Linked DNA regions of Macaca fascicularis. The protein of the gene in region 5 purifies or fractionates together with the protein of the main gene of each other region. This does not show direct contact. Links are inferred from orthologs where the notes say so. Each region holds a gene or a part of one and is shown on either strand. Other genes may lie near its edges. The genes, in order: SSR4, RPL23, DNM1L, EMD, LRRK2, CDC37 and tubulin alpha-1A chain.

The links.
Region 1: the proteins of LRRK2 (region 5) and SSR4 purify together in Homo sapiens (co-immunoprecipitation; 3 studies listed by IntAct, with this or other methods). This does not show direct contact. The link is inferred for Macaca fascicularis from reciprocal best matches to the Homo sapiens genes LRRK2 and SSR4.
Region 2: the proteins of LRRK2 (region 5) and RPL23 purify together in Homo sapiens (affinity purification with mass spectrometry; 3 studies listed by BioGRID and IntAct, with this or other methods). This does not show direct contact. The link is inferred for Macaca fascicularis from reciprocal best matches to the Homo sapiens genes LRRK2 and RPL23.
Region 3: the proteins of LRRK2 (region 5) and DNM1L purify together in Homo sapiens (co-immunoprecipitation; 6 studies listed by BioGRID and IntAct, with this or other methods). This does not show direct contact. The link is inferred for Macaca fascicularis from reciprocal best matches to the Homo sapiens genes LRRK2 and DNM1L.
Region 4: the proteins of LRRK2 (region 5) and EMD purify together in Homo sapiens (co-immunoprecipitation; 3 studies listed by IntAct). This does not show direct contact. The link is inferred for Macaca fascicularis from reciprocal best matches to the Homo sapiens genes LRRK2 and EMD.
Region 6: the proteins of LRRK2 (region 5) and CDC37 purify together in Homo sapiens (co-immunoprecipitation; 8 studies listed by BioGRID and IntAct, with this or other methods). This does not show direct contact. The link is inferred for Macaca fascicularis from reciprocal best matches to the Homo sapiens genes LRRK2 and CDC37.
Region 7: the proteins of LRRK2 (region 5) and tubulin alpha-1A chain purify together in Homo sapiens (affinity purification with western blotting; 4 studies listed by BioGRID and IntAct, with this or other methods). This does not show direct contact. The link is inferred for Macaca fascicularis from reciprocal best matches to the Homo sapiens genes LRRK2 and TUBA1A.

The regions. Positions count from the first base shown.
Region 1 is NC_088395.1:159,854,312-159,858,515, forward strand, and holds the start of SSR4 (translocon-associated protein subunit delta), read left to right. Parts: upstream 1-1,404; 5' UTR 1,405-1,435; coding exon 1,436-1,502; exon of another isoform or gene 1,503-2,494; intron 2,495-2,620; exon of another isoform or gene 2,621-3,118; coding exon 3,119-3,237; intron 3,238-4,201; coding exon 4,202-4,204. Other genes in the region: IDH3G (isocitrate dehydrogenase [NAD] subunit gamma, mitochondrial), read right to left, coding at 993-1,073. UniProt on the Homo sapiens protein: TRAP proteins are part of a complex whose function is to bind calcium to the ER membrane and thereby regulate the retention of ER resident proteins.
Region 2 is NC_088390.1:59,850,097-59,854,196, forward strand, and holds the start of RPL23 (large ribosomal subunit protein uL14), read right to left. Parts: upstream 2,801-4,100; 5' UTR 2,774-2,800; coding exon 2,761-2,773; intron 2,167-2,760; coding exon 2,083-2,166; intron 2,052-2,082; exon of another isoform or gene 1,917-2,051; intron 1,786-1,916; coding exon 1,657-1,785; intron 1-1,656.
Region 3 is NC_088385.1:35,334,089-35,337,588, reverse strand, and holds part of DNM1L (dynamin-1-like protein), read right to left. Parts: coding exon 3,437-3,500; intron 3,113-3,436; coding exon 3,080-3,112; intron 1,299-3,079; coding exon 1,122-1,298; intron 954-1,121; coding exon 844-953; intron 1-843. UniProt on the Homo sapiens protein: Functions in mitochondrial and peroxisomal division.
Region 4 is NC_088395.1:160,350,052-160,354,032, reverse strand, and holds EMD (emerin), read left to right. Parts: upstream 1-1,181; 5' UTR 1,182-1,333; coding exon 1,334-1,415; intron 1,416-1,538; coding exon 1,539-1,643; intron 1,644-1,802; coding exon 1,803-1,880; intron 1,881-2,094; coding exon 2,095-2,228; intron 2,229-2,682; coding exon 2,683-2,732; intron 2,733-2,816; coding exon 2,817-3,141; 3' UTR 3,142-3,551; downstream 3,552-3,981. UniProt on the Homo sapiens protein: Stabilizes and promotes the formation of a nuclear actin cortical network. Stimulates actin polymerization in vitro by binding and stabilizing the pointed end of growing filaments. Inhibits beta-catenin activity by preventing its accumulation in the nucleus.
Region 5 is NC_088385.1:46,790,266-46,793,765, forward strand, and holds part of LRRK2 (leucine-rich repeat serine/threonine-protein kinase 2), read left to right. Parts: intron 1-212; coding exon 213-442; intron 443-851; coding exon 852-979; intron 980-2,170; coding exon 2,171-2,389; intron 2,390-3,500. UniProt on the Homo sapiens protein: Serine/threonine-protein kinase which phosphorylates a broad range of proteins involved in multiple processes such as neuronal plasticity, innate immunity, autophagy, and vesicle trafficking.
Region 6 is NC_088393.1:10,965,632-10,969,890, forward strand, and holds the start of CDC37 (hsp90 co-chaperone Cdc37), read right to left. Parts: upstream 2,801-4,259; 5' UTR 2,716-2,800; coding exon 2,614-2,715; intron 1-2,613. UniProt on the Homo sapiens protein: Co-chaperone that binds to numerous kinases and promotes their interaction with the Hsp90 complex, resulting in stabilization and promotion of their activity. Inhibits HSP90AA1 ATPase activity.
Region 7 is NC_088385.1:55,999,726-56,001,742, forward strand, and holds the end of tubulin alpha-1A chain, read right to left. Parts: coding exon 2,010-2,017; intron 1,693-2,009; coding exon 712-1,692; 3' UTR 501-711; downstream 1-500. UniProt on the Homo sapiens protein: Tubulin is the major constituent of microtubules, a cylinder consisting of laterally associated linear protofilaments composed of alpha- and beta-tubulin heterodimers.

The DNA.
Region 1 (4,204 bases), on a different chromosome or scaffold from region 5:
CAGGAGCCCAGTTGCTAGAGCCATCAGAGCCTCTGGAAAGCCACTATATGCTGCCGTCCTTTCAGCAGCAAGGTAGGAGAAGTCGGCATTGTCAAGAGAATTTCATTAGGCACAAGCATCTCCCCCAGAGGCCAGAAAGAGAAAACAGCAAGTAGAGGTGTCCCTGGTGAGTGGCAACAAAATCACGGAGTTCTGGAAGGTCAGAGTTGACAGGATCCTTTGAAAACATGAAGTCTCCCCTCTGGGTTCCAAAGGGGAAACTGTAACCCAGAGAGAGGAGAAACTGGCCTAAGGCCACGCACTGGGTCAGTGGGGGAGCATGGCCTAGAGGCCAAACCTCTTACCCATCAGGGCCAGCTGCTTCAGATGGTTTCCAGCCCACCTAGGACCTAAATTAACCTCTTCTTAAATAAGCGTAAGGAAAAAGGACTCAGACCTGAATACGCAAGACCGCAGACCAAGAAGAGCAGAAGCAAAACCCCCGCAGCCTGAGAAACCCTAGCTCCTTCCCATTCCAGGCGCCTCGGGGGGAAGGCATCTGGGGCTCTAAGACTGTGGGAGGATGGGGTATGACTGGCAAAGTCCGGTTCTTTGCCACCGGGACAAGTGGCAAAGCGGTCAACGAGACGGGAACCCATGGAGAAATTTGAGTCCCGGAACCGGATTCCCGAAGCGGTTTGAGAAAGGCGGGCCGGGATACGTGAGTGACTGCGTCAAAGGGCTCTTTCAAGGACAGTAAGGAGGTGACAGCCGCCGTGGCCCACTCTCCCGGCCCGTCCGGAACCCCCCCCCCCGCCACCCGATGCAGACGCCCTGGGGGAGCCGGCCCAGGGCCAACTTCGGCCAATCCCCTCAGTGACAGCGGAGGCGGCCAATCAACCCCGGCGCGCAGCCCTCTCCTAGCCAATCGGACTCCAGACTGCTTCGGGAGCGGCTACCCCACCGCTCCCCTGCGAGCGCTGCCGCGGCCCCGTGGCCCTTTCCCTGCTCACCTCCCAGGGACGGCAGAGAAGGGCTGGCCTGAGCACTGCCTTCGCAGCGCCGCCGGCGACCGTCGCTACCTTCAGCGCCATGACGGAAAGTGAGAGCCTCCGCACGTCCCGTCACGCAGACACCGCTCTCGCGAGAGTTCCACGGGGTGCGAAGTTTCGGGGACCGGCGCGGGCCCGGTACTGCGCACGCGCGCGGTCTCACCGATTCCCACGCCCCCTTCCGGCGCCTAGAGCGCCGCTGCCGCCATGTTGATGGGGGATCGCGACCAGCTGGGCCCCTGTCTCGGGGAGGGGCCACGTCAGTGCTGCCAGAGACGTCACAATGCCGGCCCGGCCCTTCGGTGCACGATTGGCTGCCGCTGTCACTTACGCGTCGCTCTTCCTCGTTTGCCCCTCGTGTTCATGGGAGCTCGTTTTCTTTTCCTCTAGGCAGAGAAGAGGCGATGGCGGCGATGGCATATCTCGGCGCCCTGGCGCTGCTCCTGCTGTCCAGCCTCTCCCGCTGCTCAGGTAGCGGCCCAGTCGGGGCTTCTTTCTGGCGAGCCTCTGACCCACCCCACGTGGTGTTGAGGGGAGGAGGGATGCGGGGGTCTGGCTTTTCGGGGTCCGTCGCTGAGAGCCGGGCCTTCCTCCGAGAGGCAGGCGGCCTTGGGACGCGGGGACCAAAGCACCTCGGGCACGTTTACCGGCAGCCAGGCTTTTCCTTGTCTGCCCATACGAAGAGGAGTCCCGGAGCCTCCACCGTGCGCCCGGCCCCCAGCTCCAGCACGGAACGTGACACATGTCCCCGCTCCCGCTCCCCGCGGGGTCGGACCAGAACGAAGCTCTGTAGTGCTGAGCGATCGCGGTCAAAAACGGGGCTGGAGGAACCACATAAGCTAGGAAGGGACCTCAGTGAGGAGAGGGAGCAAGAACGGGGCGAGTTAGATGGGGAGCCAGAGGTGCGCAGGACCTTGAGTGCCAGGCCGAAGACTGGCCTTTCCGGAGGGCCCTGCCTTACCCTTACCAGAGTTTTCGGCAGAGCCTACCAGGGGTCCCGTCGATTTGCGTTCATGAGGGTCTGAGGCTCCAGAGTGTGTTTAGGAGGTGGCTGCAGCAGCCAGTCCCGGGCCCGGGGGCCAGGACTGGACAGGGGTGGCTTTCTGCACATTCCCTTTTCTGCCGTCCTTCAGGCCAGTAGCCTTGCTGCCTGCAACGTTTTGCCAGCTTAACTGGCCTCCCTGCCCGCACCCTCTTGTCTGCCCCTCAGGAATTCCCTGAGTTATAGCCAGGGACTTATCCAGAGGACAAGCCTGGCCATAAAACCCTTTCGGGGGCTCCCCTGCGCCACAGGAAGCAGGCCCAACTTAGGCAGGACACAGAAAGGCTGGTAGGATCTGGCCCCTGAGAGCGGCCTCCATGCTGTTCCTACGGATCTGCCTCCTCTGGTCCGGACCCAGAGCCTTCTCTGACGTCCTCTGCTGAAGCCGTCATTCTGCCGGAGCATCACATTTGGACAGCTGGTGACTGAGAACGTTCCCATTTTGGGGAGCCTTTGTTTCACACCCTCTGATGTAGGCGGCAGCCTGTCTTTCCTGTGGGCCTCTGTGGTTATGGAGAAGGCTAAGGCAGAGTCCTTTCTCTCACAGCTGACAAGTTGTGCTTCTGGAAGCAGAGCCTCTCCTGATGACTTCCTCAGGAAACGCTGGGGCAGTGCATTGCCTGCCTGCAGCCCTACCCCTGATGTCTCTGCTGAGGATGCCTTCAGTAACCCGTCCAGGCCGTTTGTGGTTCTGAATGGAGGCTGGCCTGGCCCCCTGGCCTCCGTGTCATAGGTCCAAGCGTTGGCATGTATTGTCCAGTGAATCCAGCGCCCACCTGTCCCCAGCACACGCGTTCGCTCTTCCTGCACACCTCCAGAAAGCCGGCCTTGCCCCTCTCCAGTCTGCTTTCACAGCCATCCCACCTACCTTGCCACTGCATTTGTGACCGAGCACTTGGATCTGTCTGGATCCCACCTGGAAGGGACAGGAGGATCCCGTGCGTCCTCAGCTGATCCGTGCTGTGAGGCAGGGCCCGGCCATCCTGCCCTCAGACTGGGATACTCGAGCTGGCCTTACCCAAGCATCTCTCCCTCTTCCCTGCAGCTGAGGCCTGCCTGGAGCCCCAGATCACCCCTTCCTACTACACCACTTCTGACGCTGTCATTTCCACCGAGACTGTCTTTATTGTGGAGATCTCCCTGACATGCAAGAACAGGGTCCAGGTGAGACAGTGGGGTTTCAGACAGGAGGGCGGGTGGGGGTGCTCCTCACTGCCAGTTGATGGGGGACCCGTGTCAACAGAGATTCCAACTCTTGGGGTGCTGGAGAGATCAGGGCACGGCGATGCCAGATCCTAGCCAGTGTTGACAGGTCACCTTCCTCACCTGCTTTGTGTGCTGTGCCTACACGAGGTAACACTGGGCTCACAACCTGTGTCCCGAATGAGTATCTGAACCGGGAGAAAGGGCAGCCCACCCTCGTTGCCATTGGCCAGTTTGTCTGTGTGGGTGTTTTGTCTTTGTTTTTGTTTTTTGTTTGTTTTGAGACAGGGTCTCACTCTGTTGCCCCGGCTGGAGTGCATTGGCACGATCTTGGCTCATTGCAGCCTCCGCCTCCCGGGTTCAAGAGATTCTCCCCTCAGTCTCCCGAGTAGCTGGGATGACAGGCGCTTACCACCATGCCCAGCTAAGTTTTGTATTTTTTGGTAGAGACAGGATTTCGGGTGTTTTAACTTCAAGATTGAGGAGCCTTGGCCTTGGCCCCTGACCTACGTTCCCAAAAGTCCAAAGAAGGAAATGGGGCCTTTTTTTTGGGTATGGCTCTCTTAGGGTAAAGCACCCCTTGGGCAGCCCACTGGGCATCCCGGACCCCAGCACCTCCCTTGTAGACTCAGGAAAATCACTCGGCCCTTTTGATCATCCCGCCCCTGCTCACAGTCAACAAGGTTCCTATGCGTCCAGTTAGGTCCGACCATGGGGATCTAGCCCTGTGCCTCCGTAGGGAAGACCGATGCAGAGGGCCAGTCACAGGATTGGTGAGTGTTACCTGGAACCTCCTGCCAGGGACACTGCAGCCCCCAACTGGGCCTAGCCTACCCATCTGCAGGCCGTGTGAGCAGCACACAGGGTTCCTCTGCCCACACCCAGAGAAGGCAGAAGGTGACCCTGCCTTTGTCTCCTCACCCAGAAC
Region 2 (4,100 bases), on a different chromosome or scaffold from region 5:
CAATGAGCAGAGACCAAGCTATTCAGATTTATACTGGAAAACAGTTGGAATTCCAGGGCCCAAACACCAGGCTTTATGTTTTACTTTTAAAGTTTTACTTTCCAGTGTCATAAGTAACTTTTACACCCATCTGTACTAAAGTGAAAAAGATGCTTTTCCCAACTTTCAAAATCAAGTATCACTACACAGTAAAATATAATGCTTGTGAAGAACTATTGTAGAGTCAGACACACCTGGATTCAAATCTTCACTGATACTAGCGTGGGGTCCTTACACAGAATTTTTATAATGACAGGAAGACTATACAAAAAATAGATAAGTCTAACCAAGTTAGCAATGGGACACACATGAGGCAGCCAATACTTACTGACCCTCCTCTACTTATAAACCATTAAATGCTCACAAATTCATCAAGTAGACAAATAGACCTGGCCCTTTTGCACATTTCTGTGCTTGTTATTTATTAAGTTCCAAGGGGAGGGGATGTATTCATTTAGCAGAAACAAGGACCAAAAAAGACATTAACAGAATTGGATACTCACAGCTCGTTTTAAAACTGAAGTGTTCTGAGCTCTGGTCTGTCCCACCACTGACTGAGACCAACAATCCACTCTCCTGCCATCTCATCTACAAAGTGATGGCCATTTGCTCTGCTCTTCTCTAACAGCTCCCTGGGCCACCAATCAGACCCAGGAAGTGTTCTGAGAAGAGGAAAAAGCCCATGCAATTGCTGAATCACAAGCACAGTGCTACCAAGCCCTCAAGTGGCTATTAATGGTAAACAAAAAAAGATTTCTAACCCAAAGGTTAAAAATCTACTGGAGAGCATCGTGGAGTGGATACAGGAATAGGAGTAACTGTAACACATGGCTAACAAATCAACATCATATTTGTAACTCAAGGGATGGCCATGAACTCTTTAGAAGAGCAAGACATCCCAGGGTAGAGACAGACTAGGCAGGCACAGGAAAAAACTGCAAGAGCTGAAGTTAAAATGCATCAAATACCAGAAGTTCTAAAGCCGGACAGGACACAAACTGCAAGTATTTTGAGGCCTCCCCCTTTAAATCATACAGCTGACAGGAAAACTTATGAGGGGGTAGCCTGAGATTAAGTAATGAGCAATTAGCTGGGTGTGGTGGCGCACACCTATGATCCCAGCTCCTCGGGAGGCTGAGGCAGGGCAATCACTTGAGCCTGGGAAGTGGAGGTTGCAGTGAACAGAAAGATATGTGCCACTGCACTGCAGCCTGGGCAACAGAGTGAGATTACATCTCAAAAATAAATAAATAAAAATAAAATAATGAGCAGCTTCTCGTTTTCATTTTCTAATTTTTTTTTTTTTTTTTTTGAGAACCCAGGAGGCAGAGAGGTTGCAGTCAGCCAAGATCGTGCCATTGCACTCTCCAGTGTGGGCTGAGCGACAGAGGGAGACCCCATCTCAAAAAATAAATAAATAAATAAATCTAAAGTATGGAAATGACAAGATGATGGTCCCCCCTCCAACATAATATGAACAAAAACTTAAGATACTTATCTCACATTGCCTCTCAATGGAAAACAACCTTGAGGCCTTGAAAACTGATCCATTTTCCAATAAAGGAAAGAGTCCCCCCACTACTTATCAGTGTTAAGGTGGGCTCAGTGTTTACTCACCCTTTTTTCTGAGCTCTGGTTTGCCTTTCTTGACTGTGGCCATCACCATGTCACCCACACCAGCAGCGGGAAGTCTGTTCAGCCGTCCCTTGATCCCCTTCACGGAGATGATATACAGGTTTTTGGCTCCTACAAATCAATGTAAATAAAAATGAAAAATGTTGAGGGCCCATCAGGCCGTTCCATCAGTATTACATTTCCCAAACACTTCCAAAGTCCCTCCCTCCACTGACTGCCCAAGCAGTTAGTCCTCAAGAACGCCTTGTCACACCACCGATTGAAGCAAACAACACAACATGTTGCCACTTCACCCAAAAGCGATGTTTTCACTCTCCCCTTTCTTGACGGCTCAATAGGTCATTAGGCACAGGCCCATTGAGTGCTTTTAAAAGGGGGAGTATAGAAACCTGCAGTCAAAGACCTCACCTGTGTTGTCAGCACAATTGATCACAGCTCCTACCGGAAGACCCAAGGAAATCCGGAATTTCGCACCAGAGGACCCACCACGTCCTGTGGATATAAAGGGAAGGTAAACAGGATAAAGAGATCACTATCTAGACATGGTTCGCAGTTCCCTCTCATACTCTTAAACTGTAATTCACCGCACATACTTTGACAGATGGTATGCTATAGATTAGCTCGCTCGGATTTTACTTATGCCCTCCCCGTGTGCCACCCGATTCTCACGGAAAGTAGCCTATTTCTCACTATTACCACTCTGACATCGAAATTAAGGAACCTAGACGACTCAGCCCTTGTTCCAACTTTCGCAAAACGCAATTGCTCCTGCAAAGCATAAGACCGCAGAGGTCGCGCAAACCAGGGCCTAATCCAGTCTAACTTCAACCCCAATACGATAGCCCTATTCGCAGAGCGATCTCGCGGGATCCAGACTATATTCATGTCGGGATCCTGCTATGTCAACTCTCCAGCACCCCACTGCCACTTTCGAGGGCCCTGGCAGTGCTCTTGCGATGGCCTGGCTCTCCCTCTCCGGCCTGAAGGAGAGCAAAGCGCCCCAGCTGCCTAGGGCCACCGCTCCTGACGAATCCGCCAGCCACTGCACGACAGATGGTGGAGGATCCTCCAGAAGCAAAACCTCACCTCGCTTCGACATCTTGAACGCCGGAAAAAAGAAAAAAGGAAGTTGATTCAAAGGACGCTGGGATATGAACTTTGACGCCCCGCCCACCTTCGTCACGTGGCCGGAGCTAAAAACTCTGCCTCTTCCGCCTCTGGGCGCTGCCTTATTGCGTATTAAGTTCACGACGTTACTTTGAGCCCTCTCTGAAGTGGGCGTTGAAGTAGAAGCGCAAGAGATAGGAAATCTCTTCTCCAGGAGCTTAAGAGTAGTTAGGGACATGGAAGCAGTGATTTGTTAACTTGCTCACGACCTCTTTTGACAACTTAATACGTGCCAGGCACTTATCAGCACACTAGAGAATAGGAATTAAAACACGGTTTGTGCCGTGTGGGGGTTCCCAAAGAAACAAAGACAGTGGGGGAGGGGGGAGAACCAGCTCCAAACGGTTTCGTTCAATGTAATACAATTGAGAAGTGCTACAGATCATTCCATCTATGTGTTCTTGGTACCATACCATTCTGTATTTTACATATACAGTATTGCTCTGTTTATTGACCCGCCCCCCCCCCCCCCCCACACACACACACAGTTGTTTTTTGTTTTTTGTTTTCTTTTTTTTGAGACGGAGTCTCGCTCTTGCCCAGGCTGGAGTATAGTGGCGCGCTCTCAGCTCGCTGCAACCTCCGTCTCCCGGGTTCAAGCAGTTCTCTGTCTCAGCCTCAGAGTAGCTGAGACCACAGGCGCCCACCACAACGCTGGGCTAATTTTTGTATTTTTAGTAGAGATGGGGTTTCGCCATGTTGGCCAGGCTGGTCTCGAATTTCTAACCTCAAGTGATCTGCCCGCCTTGGCCTCTCAAAGTGCTGGGATTGCAGGCGTGAGCCCCCGCGCCAGGCCACTTGCTCCTTTCACAGCTTCAGCCGCCCCTTTCTTCTGGGTTCTTCCCGTGCCACGATGCATTCATTCAAATACTTACTGAGCTCCTACTTTGTAGCAGGTTCTGTCCAGGGCGTACAGCGGATTACATCAGACAACAAAATAGATCAATATTGTTGTCCTTATGGAGCTTACATTCTGCTGGGGTGCAGGTGGAGGAGGATATTAGACACTAAACAAAAGATATAATAAATAATTGCAGTATGTAGTATGTTAGATGGGGATAAGTATTATAAAAATATAAATAGTATCGCTTCTTGGCCTTTTGGCCAAGATCAAGTGTAAAATACAAATAGTGGCCGGGCCTGGTGGCTCACGCTTGTAATCCCAGCACTTTGGGAGGCCGAGGCGGGTGGATCACGAGGTCAGGAGATTGAGACAAGCCTGGCCAACACAGTGAAACCCCGTCTCTACTAAAAATACA
Region 3 (3,500 bases), about 11 Mb from region 5:
TTGAAGTGGGCCAAGACTATGCCACTGCACGCCAGCCTGGGCGACAAAGCGAGACTCCATCTCAAAACAAAAACACCCTCTGCAGGGGATGGGGGCAATGAAGGAGACAAATGGAATTTTTTCTTCAGGCCCACAGTGTAAAACACTAGGAACTATTATTTCTACCACAAGCTACAGGTTTAAAAAGTCTACAAGCAAAAAAGATAAATGGTTCTACAGACAAAATCATTTATTTCAATATGAAGTATATTTATTACTCTGTGCAGTAAAATTCATCTTAGCTGCTGACAGATTACCAAAAACTGGATACAGAATATTTTCTAATAGATCACTTCATACAACTAAATGTGTATTCTCCCTATTACTGCATGAAATGACATACCAGGCAACATGAAGGAGAAGATGCAGTAGGGGAGTAGACACATGCAAAAACACTCTGAACGAGAAACCGTATACATATTTCTTAGTAAAAGACATTCGTTTTGATGCTTTGGAAAACCAAGTTAAATTAAAAAGGCAAGTCAGTGTTACTAGCCAAAATAGTTAATGAAACTACTGAATTAAAATTTAGGAAAAAAACATTTTCTTAAATGACTCAAAATGTGGCAGCCATATAGAACAAAAGATTCATTTTAATAGCTTTTTCTAGCTGATACATGAGGTCCTAGTCATTCTGTGTTAACAAACTGAGTCTTGCTACAAGTTACCAAAGGACTATCAGAGAATCCACTCGATGATTTAGAATAAAAACCTAAAATTTAAAAAATACATGTATTTTTCAAAACAGATCATAGAATCATCCAGCAGTATTAGAGCCTGTGATTTATATTAAGTAATACTAACCTGTCTTGAATATTCTTTCTGACAATAAGAAAATATGATTTAATGAGTCGTTCAATAACCTCACAATCTCGCTGTTCCCGAGCGGATAGTTTCCGTGCAACAGGAACTGGCTAAATAGGGATGAGGGGGGAAAAATGTTACTTTTGTGACACTTTGAAATGGCAGCATTTAACATCTGAAAGTTATGTAAGTTTTTGAGACTTTAGTTCTTTCTGTCTAATCAATTTCCTACTAACTTGGTCATCTTATTAGACCTAAACCAAAGTGTCATGGCTTACCACATCCAGCAGATTCACAGCATGACCTTTTTGTGGACTGGCTGGCATAATTGGAATGGGTTTTGATTTTTCTTCTGCTAATAACTCTTCAGCTTTTGAAGTTTTCAGCATTCCTCTCCAATTGCCTGTTGTTGGTTCTTGAACACCATCTCCAACCCCACCACCTCCAGATGCAACCTGAAAAAACATGTTCCAAAACCTATACCAACCACATCATATCTGACCTTAACTAAAACGAAGTTCGTTTTATTTGACAGTAGTCAGTATACATCCAGTACCCATCTGAAGTTTATTCATACAGATAATGAGGTCAGAAGGAGACAGTAGGTAGCATGTATAACTGAAACCCTGACCTAACTAAATAAGAGGTTCTGCTGTAAATTGTTTGCAAGGCATCAACCAATTTATGTTCTATTTAATTCCTTTTTTCTTTATCATTTGCTCGCCAACTTTTCAAAATCATTCCTCTTCTCCCACCCTTCAAACACTAAATTGTAGAAAAAGTATATGCTGCCCTTAAAATCAAAACTACTCGTTAAAAGCACAAAGAACTGCCATTCAGTTTAATTTAAGTAATCATAAACACTGTTAAACTCTAAAAGTTCCATGAACTTATGTCTCTGAAGTTAAGAGTTTATGTATTTCAAGTCAATTTACATTCCTATAGTCAACAAAATGCCATAAGGTATCAGTAGGAACTCTTTAACAGAAAACAAGACTACATTTGCTTTTCGTAGGCTGACAGTCACTATGAGTTCTTTCAAATGTGGAATGTGATAAACACAACAGAAATCCCCTCAACCTCTGTACTCTTAAGGATTTGCAGAAAGAAATCTAGTGCTATCACATTAATCACAAGTGCTTTTACACCTTATTTTCTAGAAAATTTATTAATCTTGACTTCTAAAAGTCAAAAATGACTTTATAATGGAAAAACATAATTCATCAACATTTAAGAGGGTTTTTTTTTTTTAGTTATTCTTTAAGAGCTTACAATCTAAAAATGGATTATATAAATTTAATAGAGGATTATGGCAGTAAGAAAAATGGTAGTTTGGGGTAGCATTCTGAATCGAAATACTTGCTTAAATCTGTCTTTAATATGTCAGTTAAGGTGAACTATAAATATTAGTATATTTATATTACACATTAACTTAAAAATGAGTAATTAGGTTTTTATACATGAATGACATACCAAATGAAATCTTAAGGAGAGTGAGCACATTCAGTGTGATGTCATGAATGAAATAAAACTTGTGCAGTGATTTAGATGGTTTGCTTAATATCTGAGCACAGTGGAGCTGAGAGAAGATAAGACATTTATAAACCTTTATCTCAAGTTCAGAACTTTAAATCTGGATAATTAAGGAAAGGAACTAAATGGCAGAAAATCTTGAAATAGCAATGAGTCTGAATAATTTATACATTATTTAATTTTCCTCTAAAATTGTTATTAAGAATTGAAAACAGTCTCAAACTCTCACAGTCCCCCTGTTTGTTTTTAATTTGCTTAAGCTTCTGAAGCATATGTGAAGCTATATATAGGGTAACAAGTGCAAACTAACTGGAAGCATGAGAAAGAAGCATTAGATTAGAGGATTATCTTTTAGTACTGAACAGATCTCAAGATCTTTAAAGAGGAAAGGAAATGTCCAAAAATACAATTCCATCTCTGAAATCTAGGAAATCTCTGAATTTCCTATCAAAATATGTTAAATTTCCTATCAAAATTTAAAACTATTCTTGAAGGTCACAGAAAACAGTGAGAAAGCCTATTATTGTTACTAATTAAAACGTTTAACGCCATCTTCCACCGGTTAGATAAAAGGAACATTAAGAACATAACACAGACAAGAGATAGATACCACTACACAAACAGGTTATTTAATGGTGTTACAGACAGTGTTTCAGTGAGAACCAGAGGTACCAACATTTCCATTCTGAAGCAAGAGACTCACATTTTTAGTTTCTCTTCTGCTGTCCTGAATTAACTGTTGAAAGATATGTTAAAACATGCAATTTAACAAGCAAAATTTAAATACCAATGGGTTGAAATTTTAAAAGTGCAGGATAATCTCCTCTTTAAATTACTTCTTTTTCTGTGTGCATCTTCTATATTGCAAGCAAAAGCATGTCAACAATATAAACTCTGCATTGCATTGTTATATAATTTTAAAATATATATTAGACTAAAGTGATCTGACCTTAGCATGGTATCCCATATTAATATTCTTCTATTCAGTGTATTGTTTCCAGAAGATTATGTTGTACCAAAGAACTAGGCATGCAGGCTTAGATTAAGAATCAGAACAGACCTTGCCATCAGCCTCAGCAGAAGCAGCGGGGGAGGGCTCCTGGGAGGCAGGTGCCAAAGCACTT
Region 4 (3,981 bases), on a different chromosome or scaffold from region 5:
ACGGCGCCCTCTGCCCGCGCCCACTGGCGTGCCCGTCGGCATGCCCGGGCCCCTTCGAAGGCTGCTTGCTTCTGGAGTGCCAGCGGCCTCCTGGCCCAGTGCCCCATTTCCTCCCGGGTAGAGTGAGGGAGGAGGAAGGGAAGCAGAGAGGTAGGCGGTGGGAAGCAGCAGGCACATGTGCGCGGGCGAGAGCCCTGCAGACTGGGAAGAAGGGCCCGTGGCAGGGGGTCTGCGGAGATCCCATAGGCGCGGGCCTTGCCCCGCAGCCGCTTCCCGAGCAATGCGCACACAAAGCGCCCCCGGCAGTGCCTGGCCCCGGGCCCGCGCTCTCTTAGGGTCCGCTGCCGGGGCGGCCGACCGGGATGCGGCCGGGAAACCCTAGGCTCTGGGGCCCAGGAAAGGGGGGCGACGGCGGGGAGCAGGGATGTGCAGGGACCGGGCGAAGTCCAAGTGACTTAGGGACCAGAGCCACCCCAAGCGCCGACTTCGCCCGCTCGCACGTCCCGGGTCCCTAGCGCGCAGGCCCCATCCCTCTCACCCGGCTGGCTCAAGCGCGCCACAGGGTGACGTCTTGGCTCCCAGCCGTGTCGCCCTCACTCCCGCGCGGGCCCCGCCCCCTGCCGCTAGCCAATCTGTGCGTTTGTGACTTTTGGGCCCGCAGCCCCGCCTACTCCCACTGCGATACCAGTTTGCATTGCCCTGACTCCCGCGCGGGCCCCGCCGCCTACGCCGCTAGCCAATCCGTGCGTTAGTGACGTGTGGCGCCCCTCGCGGCGCGGCTTGCTCCCACCGCGAGACCTTCTGCCCCGCGCCCGCGCGGGCCCCGCCTCCTCCATCGCTAGCCAATCCCCATGTTTGTGACGTAAGGGCTCTCCGCTCCGCTCGCTCCCAACGCAAGACCTTTTGCTCCGCGCCTGCGCGGGCCCCGCCCCCTCCATCACTAGCCAATTCCCGTGTTTGTGACATATGGGCTTGCGGCCCCGCCCGCTCCCACCGCGAGACCGGTTCCCACCACCCTGACTCCCGGGGGCCCGCCCTCTCTGCCGCTAGCCAATCCGTGAGTTGATGACGTTTGGGCTCGCGGCCCCAGCCTCCCAGCTCTCAAGGCCCGGCCGGTCTGTGCCGGCTACTCCCGCCGTTTGGTCCCGCCCAGCGCAGCGCGCGCAGCCTGCGGAGCCAGCGGCCGTGACGCGACAGCGATTCGGCTGTGACGCGAGTGCGGCCGCTCCCGATGCACTCGTGCCGCCCCCGCCGTGCTCCTAGGCAGCCGTTGCTCGGCCGGTTTTGGTAGGCCCGGGCCGCCGCCAGGCCTCCGCCCGAGCCCGCACCCGCCATGGACGACTACGCAGATCTTTCAAATACCGAGCTGACCGCCTTGCTGCGCCGGTACAACATCCCGCACGGGCCTGTAGTAGGTACGCGGCGGCGGGCGGGACCCCTTCCGGGCCCCCTCCTCGTGCTCCGCCCCGCGACCTCCCCGCTGCCCTCCCCGCGCCCCTTCCCCGGACTGCGGCCCTGACCGCCCCGTGTCCGGCCAGGATCAACTCGTAGGCTTTACGAGCAGAAGATCTTCGAGTATGAGACCCAGAGGCGGCGGCTCTCGCCCCCCGGCTCGTCCGCTGCCTCCTCTTATCGCTTCTCTGGTGAGAGCCTCGCCTGTGGGGACGGCCTGGGACGCGGGGAGGATGAGGTAGCGAGGGTGTGGCAGGGGTGCCGGTCGAGAGCGGCACTGGGGAAAGGGGAGGGAAGCCTTGGGGTGGGGGTGGGGGGGCAAACAGTTCTGTCTCCTCCTTTCAATCCAGAGTTGAATTCGACGTCAGGGGATTCAGATATGTATGATCTTCCCAAGAAAGAGGACGCCTTACTCTACCAGAGCAAGGGTAAGGCAGGGGTTGGGTGGGCACGCTGGCACCTTCACCCGACTGCGTCAGGGACCCCGCTCACAGGGAGGACCTGAGACCTCAGTCCCAACCACTCCAGCAGCCTTAGGAGGGAGAAACTGTCACAGGTCCCGAAATGGGATTCAGATTAGGGCCATCGGGCCAGGCGGGGCACACCGATGCCCCCTCTGCTACCGCTGCCCCCCTTCCCAAGGCTACAATGACGACTACTATGAAGAGAGCTACTTCACTACCAGGACTTATGGGGAGCCCGAGTCTGCGGGCCCGTCCAGGGGCTTCCGCCAGTCTGTGACTTCACTCCCAGATGCTGACACTTTCCACCACCAGGTGAGCTGGCTGGCAGGCGTACTGTACTTGGGTACAACCTAGGGGATCGCGGCTGTGTTTGGATAAATCCAGGGGGCCACTGGGTACAAATGGTGGCCCTTGGGCCTCTGGGGAGACTTTGGCTCAGCAGACACCTGTTTGGTCAGGGTCCTACTTTGGGGAGCCCTCAGAACTATGTGACTAGAGCACATAGGATGCGTCCTGCACCCTGGTCTGGGATCTAGGCTCCAGCTCTTCCTGAGAGTCCTGGGGGCAAAGGGGGATGCTGGGGCATGAGCACAAGTAGCAAGGCCCCATGGATAAAAGGCCGAACACCCAGAGTCATTCAGGAGGGTGTGGGTCCCTGGCCTTTAACCAAAGGTCAGAGGGGACCTGCTGGGGAAATTTGAGAGGGACGTGGCAGGGCCATTGTGGCCCTGCCAGCCAGTTCCCTCACCTTGACTCTCTTCTACAGGTACGTGATGACGACCTTTTGTCGTCTTCTGAAGAGGAGTGCAAGGATAGGTATGTATGTATGGGGAAGGCCAGGGACAGGGGCTGGTTCTGGACCCAGGCTCCTGGCCCACCTGCTCCCCTCTTTTGCCTCAGGGAACGCCCCATGTACGGCCGGGACAGTGCCTACCAGAGCATCACGCACTACCGCCCTGTTTCAGCCTCCAGGAGCTCCCTGGACCTGTCCTATTATCCTACTTCCTCCTCCACCTCTTCTATGTCCTCATCATCTTCCTCTTCATGGCTCACCCGCCGTGCCATCCGGCCTGAAAACCATGCTCCTGGGGCTGGGCTGGGCCAGGATCACCAGGTCCCACTCTGGGGCCAGCTGCTGCTTTTCCTGGTCTTTGTGATCGTCCTCTTTTTCATTTACTACTTCATGCAGGCTGAGGAAGGCAACCCTTTCCAGAGGGAGCCATGAGGGTCTGGGCTTCAGAGCCAGGTCTTCTGGGGAAGTCCTGGCTGACTGCCTTAGCAGTGGGGGTGGGGGTGGGTGTGGGGGCAGGGGCAGGGGCAGGGGCTTTTATGTGTTCTTGCTTGGGGGGCGCTGGGCCTAGCCCAGAGTAGTGCTTGCTCCCCCTGCCTTGTCCCACCAGGGAGGCAGCAGATTCAGGCCCTCCATGGGGGCCTGAGTGTGCTTTCCTCGGCAGCCTCCTGGCCCTGCTTGCCTGTAACCCTTAGGGTCCAGGAGGGCAAGGCCTCGCTCAGTCAGAGGAGAACATGGTTCTTGTTGTCATGCATGCCTCCTTTTTGTCATCTTGTTGGGGGGGATTAACCAAAGGCCACCCTTTGTTTTCGTGGACACACAATAAAAACCCCATTTATTTTTAATGCGTTGGCTCTTCCTGGAGGAGAGGGTTGGGCTCCCATGGCAAGGGCCTCTGCGTCTTGGGACTCGAGGATTGCAATCTGGCTTTGTTGGGTCCGCATTTTTGCTTTGGTCTGGGGATAGGAATCAAATGCTACCCAGAGATGTTTGTGTTTTGTTTGGGAGTTTTATTCCCTAACTCATTCCCCAAAGCACCTGTAACTGCTTATACATATAATTGTGGTACAACAAGGCGTATACAGAGAACCCACTTAGAAATTCAGGCAAAGCAGCCGGGCGCAGTGGCTCAAGCCTGTAATCCCAGCACTTTGGGAGGCCGAGGCGGGCGGATCACGAGGTCAGGAGATTGAGACCATACTGGCTAACACAGTGAAACCCCGTCTCTACTAAAAATACAAAAAAGTAGCCAGGCGAGGTGGTGGGCGCCTGTAG
Region 5 (3,500 bases):
GATTTTACCAAATATTATCAACCACACTAAAATGTCTAGCAAAATATATGCATTAACAGTACTCTGAAAGACATGTACATTATTAGTTATATGAGCTATGCAGTCTTTTGGATATTATATTTTAGACTAGTGTGACATGCAAAAGAACTCACCTAAATCTTAAGTGTACTTTTCAATAGTTTATTATTTTATTTTTATATTTCAAATACTAGGTTTCTTCAGCAGCGGTTAAAAAAGGCTGTGCCCTATAACCGAATGAAACTTATGGTTGTTGGAAATACTGGGAGTGGTAAAACCACCTTGTTGCAGCAATTAATGAAAACCAAGAAATCAGATCTTGGAATGCAAAGTGCCACAGTTGGCATAGATGTGAAAGACTGGCCTATCCAAATAAGAGGCAAAAGAAAGAGAGATCTCGTTCTGAATGTGTGGGATTTTGCAGGTATTTCTTTCTATAGAATTTTAAAATTCACTTTTACCATTTGTTTTGAACAGGGATTCAAAAACTGAACTTTCTGTTCTAATATCCAGAAACCTGGTATACTGTATAGAATTATTCCAAAGCCCTTTACTTCTCCTAATTTTACCCTTGCCTCCAGAATGGAGGAGAACATGGAGGGATATGTTGGTAACAATACGGTGCTAGGTATTTTGATCGGTTGGTGCCATATATGCTAAAAGTGGTCAATCTCTTGTAAAAACCCAGAATAGTTCTCTAAACATTATCTGTTGTTTTTCTCTTATTAGTATGCTAAATAAAAAATAGTATTATTCCCCCAGATATTTTTTTAAAAAGAGTTCTTGCCTGTTGTTTGAAAGATTTAAAAAATTTGTCTCTAATCTTTATTTAGGTCGTGAAGAATTCTATAGCACTCATCCTCATTTTATGACGCAGCGAGCATTGTACCTTGCTGTCTATGACCTTAGCAAAGGACAGGCTGAAGTTGATGCCATGAAGCCTTGGCTCTTCAATATAAAGGTGATTTATTCTGATCTTTTGAAAATAGAAAATAGTGTGTGTGTGTGTGTGTGTGTGTGTGTGTGTACACGTTAATTTATTTTGGGCAAACAGTTGCTTCAGTCTCTTTAAATACTTTCTTAAAAGAAGCACTAAAGTTTTGAGTTGGGAAACTTTCAGAGTAATTAAATCATAACATGAAAATGGTATGTTCCATATTGGTGAATGTTATTGATAACCCGAAATTCTTTTATGCTGTGAAACTTGAAAATATATATGTTCAACTGTTTTTTTAATCATATTATTTCTTAAATGAAATCTAAATTTTTCTAATTTAAAATAAGCTATATTAAAGAAAAGCAATCTATATATATCATCAACTTCGTACTCAGGGGCCATTTAGTGTGAAATCCTTCAGATTGTATCCTTTAAGTGGTCCCAGATTATTATGCTGTTATGTCTGGAATCTCCCTTTTGTTGCTTTTGTATCTTTTCCTTTGTTGTCTTGTTGTCAGCTATGCCTTCAAACACTGTGGCTTTTAAGAATTGAGACTAAAATGCTGCTTGCATGATGCTGCAATGAGCTCTTCTGTGAGCAAAGTCCTTAAAAAGGCTTGTGTCAGGATATTCAACCATGTCATTTGGCTGCATACATGCTTGTTTTGTAATTTGGGTGTTTTTTAATGTTTCTTTTATTAACTTTTTTACAGCTAGCCAACATGAGCAAATATTACAGTGGCAGTCATACTTGCTTGAATGGCTTTTATTCTTTCATTGTAGACTCCAAATTGAATGACTTTAAAATGAATTTAGAAGATTAAATTCACAGATAAGGAAGAGAAAATATACATGATATGACGTTAATTTGATATAATTTGTGGATTTATGAAATGCTTGTTTTATTTAGGAGTGGATAACTCATCTTAAGGCATGAAGATGAGAAAGGAAAACTATGCTACTACCATTATATAGGCTACCTAAAAGGGATAAAAACTGGATTAAGGAAAGCCTAAAAATGATTTTTTAAAATGTCGAGGTTACGTTGTTTTCTTAGGTTTAAGGAAAAAAGGACAGTTGTTCTTTTCTTCTTCTGAAGTCTGTTAGTTTCTCTTTTCCACTCAAGTGAATGTCATGGAAAGCAAATATCAACAGGAATGTGAGCAGGCCCAATTTGAAAGCAAACACAAGAGGGTTTTGTGTCTTTCCCTCCAGGCTCGCGCTTCTTCTTCCCCTGTAATTCTCGTTGGCACACATTTGGATGTTTCTGATGAGAGGCAGCGCAAAGCCTGCATAGGTAAAATCACCAAGGAACTCCTGAATAAGCGAGGGTTCCCTGCTATACGAGATTACCACTTTGTGAATGCCACCGAGGAATCTGATGCTTTGGCAAAACTTCGGAAAACCATCATATACGAGAGCCTTAATTTCAAGGTAACATGGTAGGCTGGTAGAGAAATGTAATTTATTAATTCTCATGTTATGCAACTGTCTAGAAATGTCAGAAATTTTGAGAAGTGAGCAACTCACTTAAAATTGTGGGGTTTCTTTCCCCGTTGCTGTTAGCATTGTTAAAGTCTTTTCCATTTTAAAATTATTTATACCAGACTTCATTTCTAATTCATAGAAATGGGAATAAAAAATAATTAGAGGACTCTGAGAGAAACTAAGAGAACATTTCTGGGATACTGAGAAAATGTTTCTGAGAGAGAATCTGAGAAAATGTTTTTGATGTCTTTTCTCATCCAACTTCTTGTAGTGGTGGTTCAGTCCAAGGGTAAAGGTGAATACTGAGGTCTTGGGATCATCTTTCTTCTATTATTCTTTGACTGTTATTTTTCCATTTGCTCCTTTCATTTGCAATTCCTATTTTATGGACATCTTGATCCTTTGTGCCACTCCTTCATGTATTTTGTCACGGTGATTCCCATTCCAATTTTTTTCCCCTCTGTATTGTGAGGCAGCTGTTTTATTTAGTCATGAAGACCACTGACTTGGTTTTCGGTAGTATCTCACTAATTACTTAGTTCATACAAAATGGACTTTTTATTTTAGGAATTATGTTTTAAATGTTTAAAATTCTCTTCTGGTAAGCCAAATCTTTATAAAGCATAAATAAATCAGTTATCAGAGACAACCCTCTTTTTTTAATACTTGCAGGAAAAAGAAATATTCACTGGGATCTACAGGGAGTGTGGTGTAAACTGTACTGAAAAATACCCTTGATAGTTCCATATGACAAATATAATGATGAATTTCACTTAGTCCCTCTTGGCTTAGCTCATTAGCACTAATGATCAAGATCCTGGCTGATAAATAGAGTCCTATTTCGCCTGGGCAGTACCAGCGTAATTATTAATAGTGTCCCACTATATTCTCAAAAGCATTCCAATTTGGATGATAAATTATATAGTCACCTTGGTTATAACTCCGCGTTGGCCAGTTAGCTTACATAATCCATTTATATAGATTATGTGTGCTTCTCTGCAAAACCTAATGAGCCATTTGTAAAAGTGATGGATTTTGCGGTGTCCGGGGAGAGAAT
Region 6 (4,259 bases), on a different chromosome or scaffold from region 5:
AAAGAAAAAAGAAAGACAGACAAGGTCTTGCTATGTTGCTCAGGCTGGACTTGAACTTCTGGGCTCAAATGATCCTTCTGCCTCAGCCTCCTGAGTAGCTAGGACTATAGGCATGTGTCCCCACATGTGGCTGTGGAATTTTTTTTTAACCATTCACAAAAATTATTTAAATGATGATGACGGTAATAGCTACTGCCCCAAAAGGATTACAAATATTAAACGAATAAGGTAACCCTTACAACAACCCTATGGGGTGGACATCATTCAGATTCTCAGGTGCTCAGGCACAGAGCAATCAAACAATTCCCTGGCACTCACGCAGCATGTGAGTGACACAGACAGAGCTGAGATTTGAACCTAGTCAGGCCTGTGCTCAGAACCACAGCGATCTCTCCTTCCCCTCCACAATGCTTCCTTCCAAACCTGCCCCAAGTTTTCCTGCCCAATCTTAATTTATTCTTACAAAAGTCTCAGGGAGGTGGGGTCATAGTATCCCAGGTTTCATACGGGATCAGGGAGGCCTGAGTCTTGCCACATCAAAGAAAGAAAGAAGCAGCAAGAGGCAGGACTAGGATTGGAACGCAAGCTTGCCTGTCCTTGAACCTGTGCTGGAGACGCTGAAGCCCCCTGCCTCCCTTACGTGCCACTACAACCACCGGGTTCTCAGCGGTAGGACAGGAAAAGCTCCGTGCCAGAGGGAGGAGGGTGTGGCAGGTACGCTACGCTGCAGGAGGGGGGCCCTCCCACTCGGCAGGACCAAACCATTCTCCACAGTAGTAAAGATTAACCTCTTTATGTGACAGAAATAGGTCTTCCCAAGAATAGTCTTTGGAGCTTTGTGGAAGTCTTAAATATTTCATAATAAAATGTTACACACGGCAAGAAATAGAAGCGCTAGAACTTTCTTCCCACACTCCAGTGGCTCGCTTGGCAGGTACACTACCCAGGAGACTCAGGATTTAAGGAAGAGGTCTGGAGGTGGGACTGGGAGCTAGATAAAGAGACTAATGCCGTATTCTGGAGTATTCCAAAATGATGGGGAAGGGAACTTCTAGTTGTTTCTTGGATAAATGATGGGGAGTTGTCCTATGAGAGGGTGGGGTAAGAGATCCTCACTAGAAGGTTCTGAAAGGTATATGCCCTTAGTTTAAGAGTACAACATGGCTGGGTGCAGTGGCTCACGCCTGTAATCCCAGCACTCTGGGAGGCCGAGGTGGGTGGATCGCCTGAGGTCAGGAGTTCGAGACCAGCCTGACCAACATGGAGAAACCCCGTCTCTACTAAAGATACAAAACTAGCCAGGCGTGGTGCCGCATGCCTGTAATCCTAGCTATTCAGGAGGCTGAGGCAGGAGAATTGCTTGAACCCGGGAAGCAGAGGTTGCAGTGAGCCAAGATTGTGCCACTGAACTCCAGCCTGGGCGACAAGGAAACTCCATCTCAAAAAAAAAAGAGTACAACAGACACTGATATGTGATTTGGGGTAGCAGGAGGTTAAACCTTTAAGTCTTAGTCACCCCATTGGCTTGTGAGCACTGAGGGGGTGGTAGGACATGGATCACTCAGACTTGGGATTCTGGGGTCTGGATTTGGGGGTTCTGTTGTGGTCCGATAGAAGAAGGGGTAGTGAATTTAGAATCAGACCAGGAGTCCCTGGAAAAGAGCAGGGACAATTTGGGTCACAGAGTAGCGATCAGGTTGGGGACACAAGGTGGGGTGGGTTTGGGGTCCTGGGCTTGAGTTAGGGGAGTTTCCAATGCTGGCCAAGGCTCATACAGGAAGCCAGTCTGGGAGGTGGGTGGTGACAGGGTCTGCAATACCAAGTAGGGGCAGGGGCTCTGGCTGGGCCGGAAGCCACGTGGGCAGGATTTCCTGGTCTAATGGGAAATGGGTCTACCCGAGGCCAAAGGAGAGGCTGGAATGTGAGGCTCTGTCGGGGTGGAGCTGGTAGTTAGATCCAGAGGGGAACCAGGTTCCACAACCGAAGTCCTCGGTGAGACTAAGGATCCTGAAGGGGGACGGCTCTACACTCTAGGAAGGGGGTCCCGGGTGTGGGCAGGGACAGGAATATCAGAGTAGCACAGAGTTCCTTGTACCGTTTAGAAAAGGAGTGGCGACTCCGGATCTGAATGGGAACCCCGGATCAAGATCCCGGAAAGTAGATCCCAGGACAGACCAAAGTATTGGGGGTCCAGACTACGGAGGTGGGGGAGGGCGACGTGAGATCCCAGATAGGGAGTGGATACCCGAATAGGATGAGGGATCATCTAGAAGAATTTGGGGACCAAACTTTGAGGCAGAGTTCTGGGTGTAAATGTTAACTCCGAACAGAATTAGGGAGACTCGTCTAAGGCAGTCCAGACTGAAGAAGTTCTAGGGGGTGAATAGGGAATCCCACGCAAAAATCGGAGCAGGGGGTTGGGGGGAGATCCCGAGCAGGGACTCAGGGTACCAGTGGTACTGGGGTCCTGGAGTTGAATCGAGGCTCCTGAAAGTCCAGACTGAGGGGGTGAGAATCCTAGGTGTGAACAGTGGGGTCCCTGGGCAGTATCGGGGACCACAACTCTGGAGCGGGGTCCGGGAGTGGGGAAAGGGATGGGCGCGCGCGCCTTACCTGATGCCGCCAGCGGAAGAGGCTGGCCGTGTCGATGTTGGGGTGCGTCTCGTCTTCATCATCAGACACCTCAATGTGGTCCCACACGCTGTAGTCCACCATCTTGCCTTGGCGGCCCAGCCCGCTACGGCTCGGTTGGCGGCGACGGCGGCGGCGCTGGAGACTTGGTGCGCGGAGCCCCGCCCCTTCCGCTTCCGCCCGAGTGCGGGGGAAACCCCGCCCATGCCTGACGTCACATCCCTAGTAACCGCGGCAGCGGCACTGGCTACCCATTCTGCCTTAAAGGGCCTTGCGCAAGCGTTCCAGTCCCCTGAAGTTCCCGCAGAGACTCCACCTTATCGGGCGCAGGGGCTCCGCTAGGTCTCCTGGGGGCATACGAGTGGGCACTTCAACTCCTAGCCCCCCTCATCTCCCGCCTCTCCACGGTGGGCGTTTGGGGTGGCAGGGAGAGGACGGTTGATGAGACTAAGAGGACTGTCCCCTCAGCTACGCCGCAGTGACGTCTGCAAGGGGTACGGACACGGCGGGAAGGCCCTCCCCCTGCCCTTCGTAAACGGGGACCTAAGCCTGCTCTGGAGAGGGGCGCCTGACGACTCCTGGGACTTTCTCAGCCCGAGGAGGACTGGACCTGCCCTGGGGGTGTCTAAATAGAGGGTGGTATGGCCCTCCCCTTGAGGGGTTAAACATAGAGGGGAGATTGTGGCTCTGCCTTGGGAGCCTTCTCCTCGTCCTCCAGCTCCGGCCATTAGCAGCAAGGACTCGCGCGCGCGCACATACACACACACACACACACACACACACTTTGGAATCACCCGGACCCCCCATAACGGGTCTCGGCGCCCCACCCCGCGTGACCGCTGGGTGTCGCTAGAGTCTAGCCTACGGCGCGTATTCCTGGTCCCGCGCTTGGTGGGGGAATCTTGGAGGGGTGGAAGGGGGCTTTCCTTTTCGTCACAGTCTGGGGTCACGCATAGTCCCTCCCCGTTTGTCTGGGGGTACCCTTCCTCCGCCGGGGCTCTAAGGACTCCATTACTCTAAGCATGCAGGGCCCTGGCCTCACACTTCCACGCATCCCAATCCACGCTTTTATACCAGGATAATAGGCCGCGTTGCAGTCTCGGGCCAGGATTATTTTAGATTAAAGGGTGCTCCATCGGGGGTCAGGCTGGATAGGAGGAGCTCCAGCCACTCGGGTGAGGGGCGCCTCTTCCCAGTCTCCCCTGGAGCCGACGTCGCAGGCGGTGCCCGGAGAGAGCGAGCGAAAGTCTCCAGATGGGGGGAATTCCCCAGTGCATGGAGGGGGAGGGGCCATCGGACAAAAACGCCCTCCCGCTGCCGCCCCTCCCCCTCGCGCTTCATTCAAACCCGCGAGTGGGCGGCCAGGGGCGGAGGAGTCCCCATCTCCTCCCCCTCCCTCTTCACCTCTACCCTGGCAGTCCAGCACATCAGTGGCTGTCACGGCCCGGGCACGCGCGCGCACGGACCCACACCCCGGCGGCTCTCACAATCGCACACACACATACACACACACCAGCAAACAAAGGGTCTGGACACCCCCGTCCCCTCCCGCCCCCCAGGCCAGAGAGGGCGGGGCATCCCCTCCCCAGCCCCCCCGCAAGGTAAGCTTGGGGCTGCGAGCTGCGGTG
Region 7 (2,017 bases), about 9.2 Mb from region 5:
AGCCGGGAACAGTGGTTCACACCTGTAATCCCAGCACTTTGGGAGGCCGAGGCGAGCGGATCACTGGAAGTCAGGAGTTTGAGACCAGCCTGACCATCATGGTGAAACCCAGTCTCCACTAAAAATACAAAAATTAGATTGGTGGTGGATGCCTATAATCCCAGCTACTTGGGAGGCTGAGGCAGGAGAAGCTCTTGAACCCAGGAGATGGAGGTTGCAGTGAGCCCAGATCACACCACTGCACTCCAGCCTGGGCAACAGAGCAAGACTCCATCTCACAAAAAAAAAAAAAAGAAAAAAAGTACGTGATGCTCTGTGATGGTAATCTTTAGATATACATTTTATGTTTCACAAATAAAAGTTTTAAATTCCTAAGATACTTTAAAACACAAACGTCACGTCATAGGATATGTATAAACCACAGGCAACACTTATTCTTTATTCTCAATGCACTAAATAAAATTTCAGACACCCAGATAGAAAACACAGGACTGAATTCATTTAAGACAGGGAATACTTTATTCAAAACCCATCACAGAAATGGACAGCTTGGGTCTGTAACAAAGCATTCATGTTTTAGAGCATAGGTCAGTAATTGTATATAAGAGCATACACTGCTACATACAAATTAACTGAGCAGACCACAACTTTTCAACGTTTAAAACAGAATAAGCTTCCCTGTAAAAGCAGCACCTTTGTGACATTTTAACTTTAGTATTCCTCTCCTTCTTCCTCACCCTCTCCTTCAACAGAATCCACACCAACCTCCTCATAATCCTTCTCAAGGGCAGCCATGTCTTCACGGGCCTCTGAAAACTCGCCTTCCTCCATCCCCTCACCCACATACCAGTGAACAAAGGCACGCTTGGCATACATCAGGTCAAACTTGTGGTCCAGGCGAGCCCAGGCCTCAGCAATGGCTGTGGTGTTGCTCAGCATGCACACAGCTCTCTGAACCTTGGCCAGGTCTCCACCAGGCACCACAGTGGGAGGCTGGTAGTTGATGCCAACCTTGAAGCCAGTGGGGCACCAATCCACAAACTGGATGGTACGCTTGGTCTTGATGGTGGCAATGGCAGCATTGACATCTTTGGGAACCACATCACCACGGTACAACAGGCAGCAAGCCATGTATTTACCATGGCGAGGGTCACATTTCACCATCTGGTTGGCTGGCTCAAAGCAAGCATTGGTGATCTCTGCTACAGAAAGCTGTTCATGGTAGGCTTTCTCAGCAGAGATGACAGGGGCGTATGTGGCCAGAGGGAAGTGGATGCGGGGGTAGGGCACCAGGTTGGTCTGGAATTCTGTCAGGTCAACATTCAGGGCTCCATCAAATCTCAGGGAAGCAGTGATGGAGGACACAATTTGACCTATTAACCTATTCAGGTTAGTATAGGTTGGACGCTCAATATCAAGGTTTCTACGACAGATGTCATAGATGGCCTCATTGTCTACCATGAAGGCACAATCAGAGTGCTCCAGGGTGGTGTGGGTGGTGAGGATGGAGTTGTAGGGCTCAACTACAGCTGTGGAAACCTGGGGCGCTGGGTAAATGGAGAACTCCAGCTTGGACTTCTTGCCATAATCAACTGAGAGACGTTCCATGAGCAGGGAGGTGAACCCAGAACCAGTTCCCCCACCAAAGCTGTGGAAAACCAAGAAGCCCTGAAGACCGGTGCACTGGTCAGCCTATTACAAAAGAGAGAAACAGAGGAAAGGTTAAGTTTTTGTTCTTTGTAGTACAATCATAGGAAATATATTTTCACTTTTCATACATCTCCCAGGATTTAGATCTTATTTTGACAAATGCTTTTTAAAAAATTCTCATTAACATTTACAAAATGATACCAAATAGTTCATTTTAACTGATAAAAACCCCACAAGAACGACTCATTCCACTCTTTATTAAAATAACAGTTCAATTCTGTTTGAAAAAAAAAAAAAGCAGTATTTCAAATGTGTTCTTTAGGCTCATTAATTTACTTTATTCTTGAAAAGAAACATACCAGCTTAC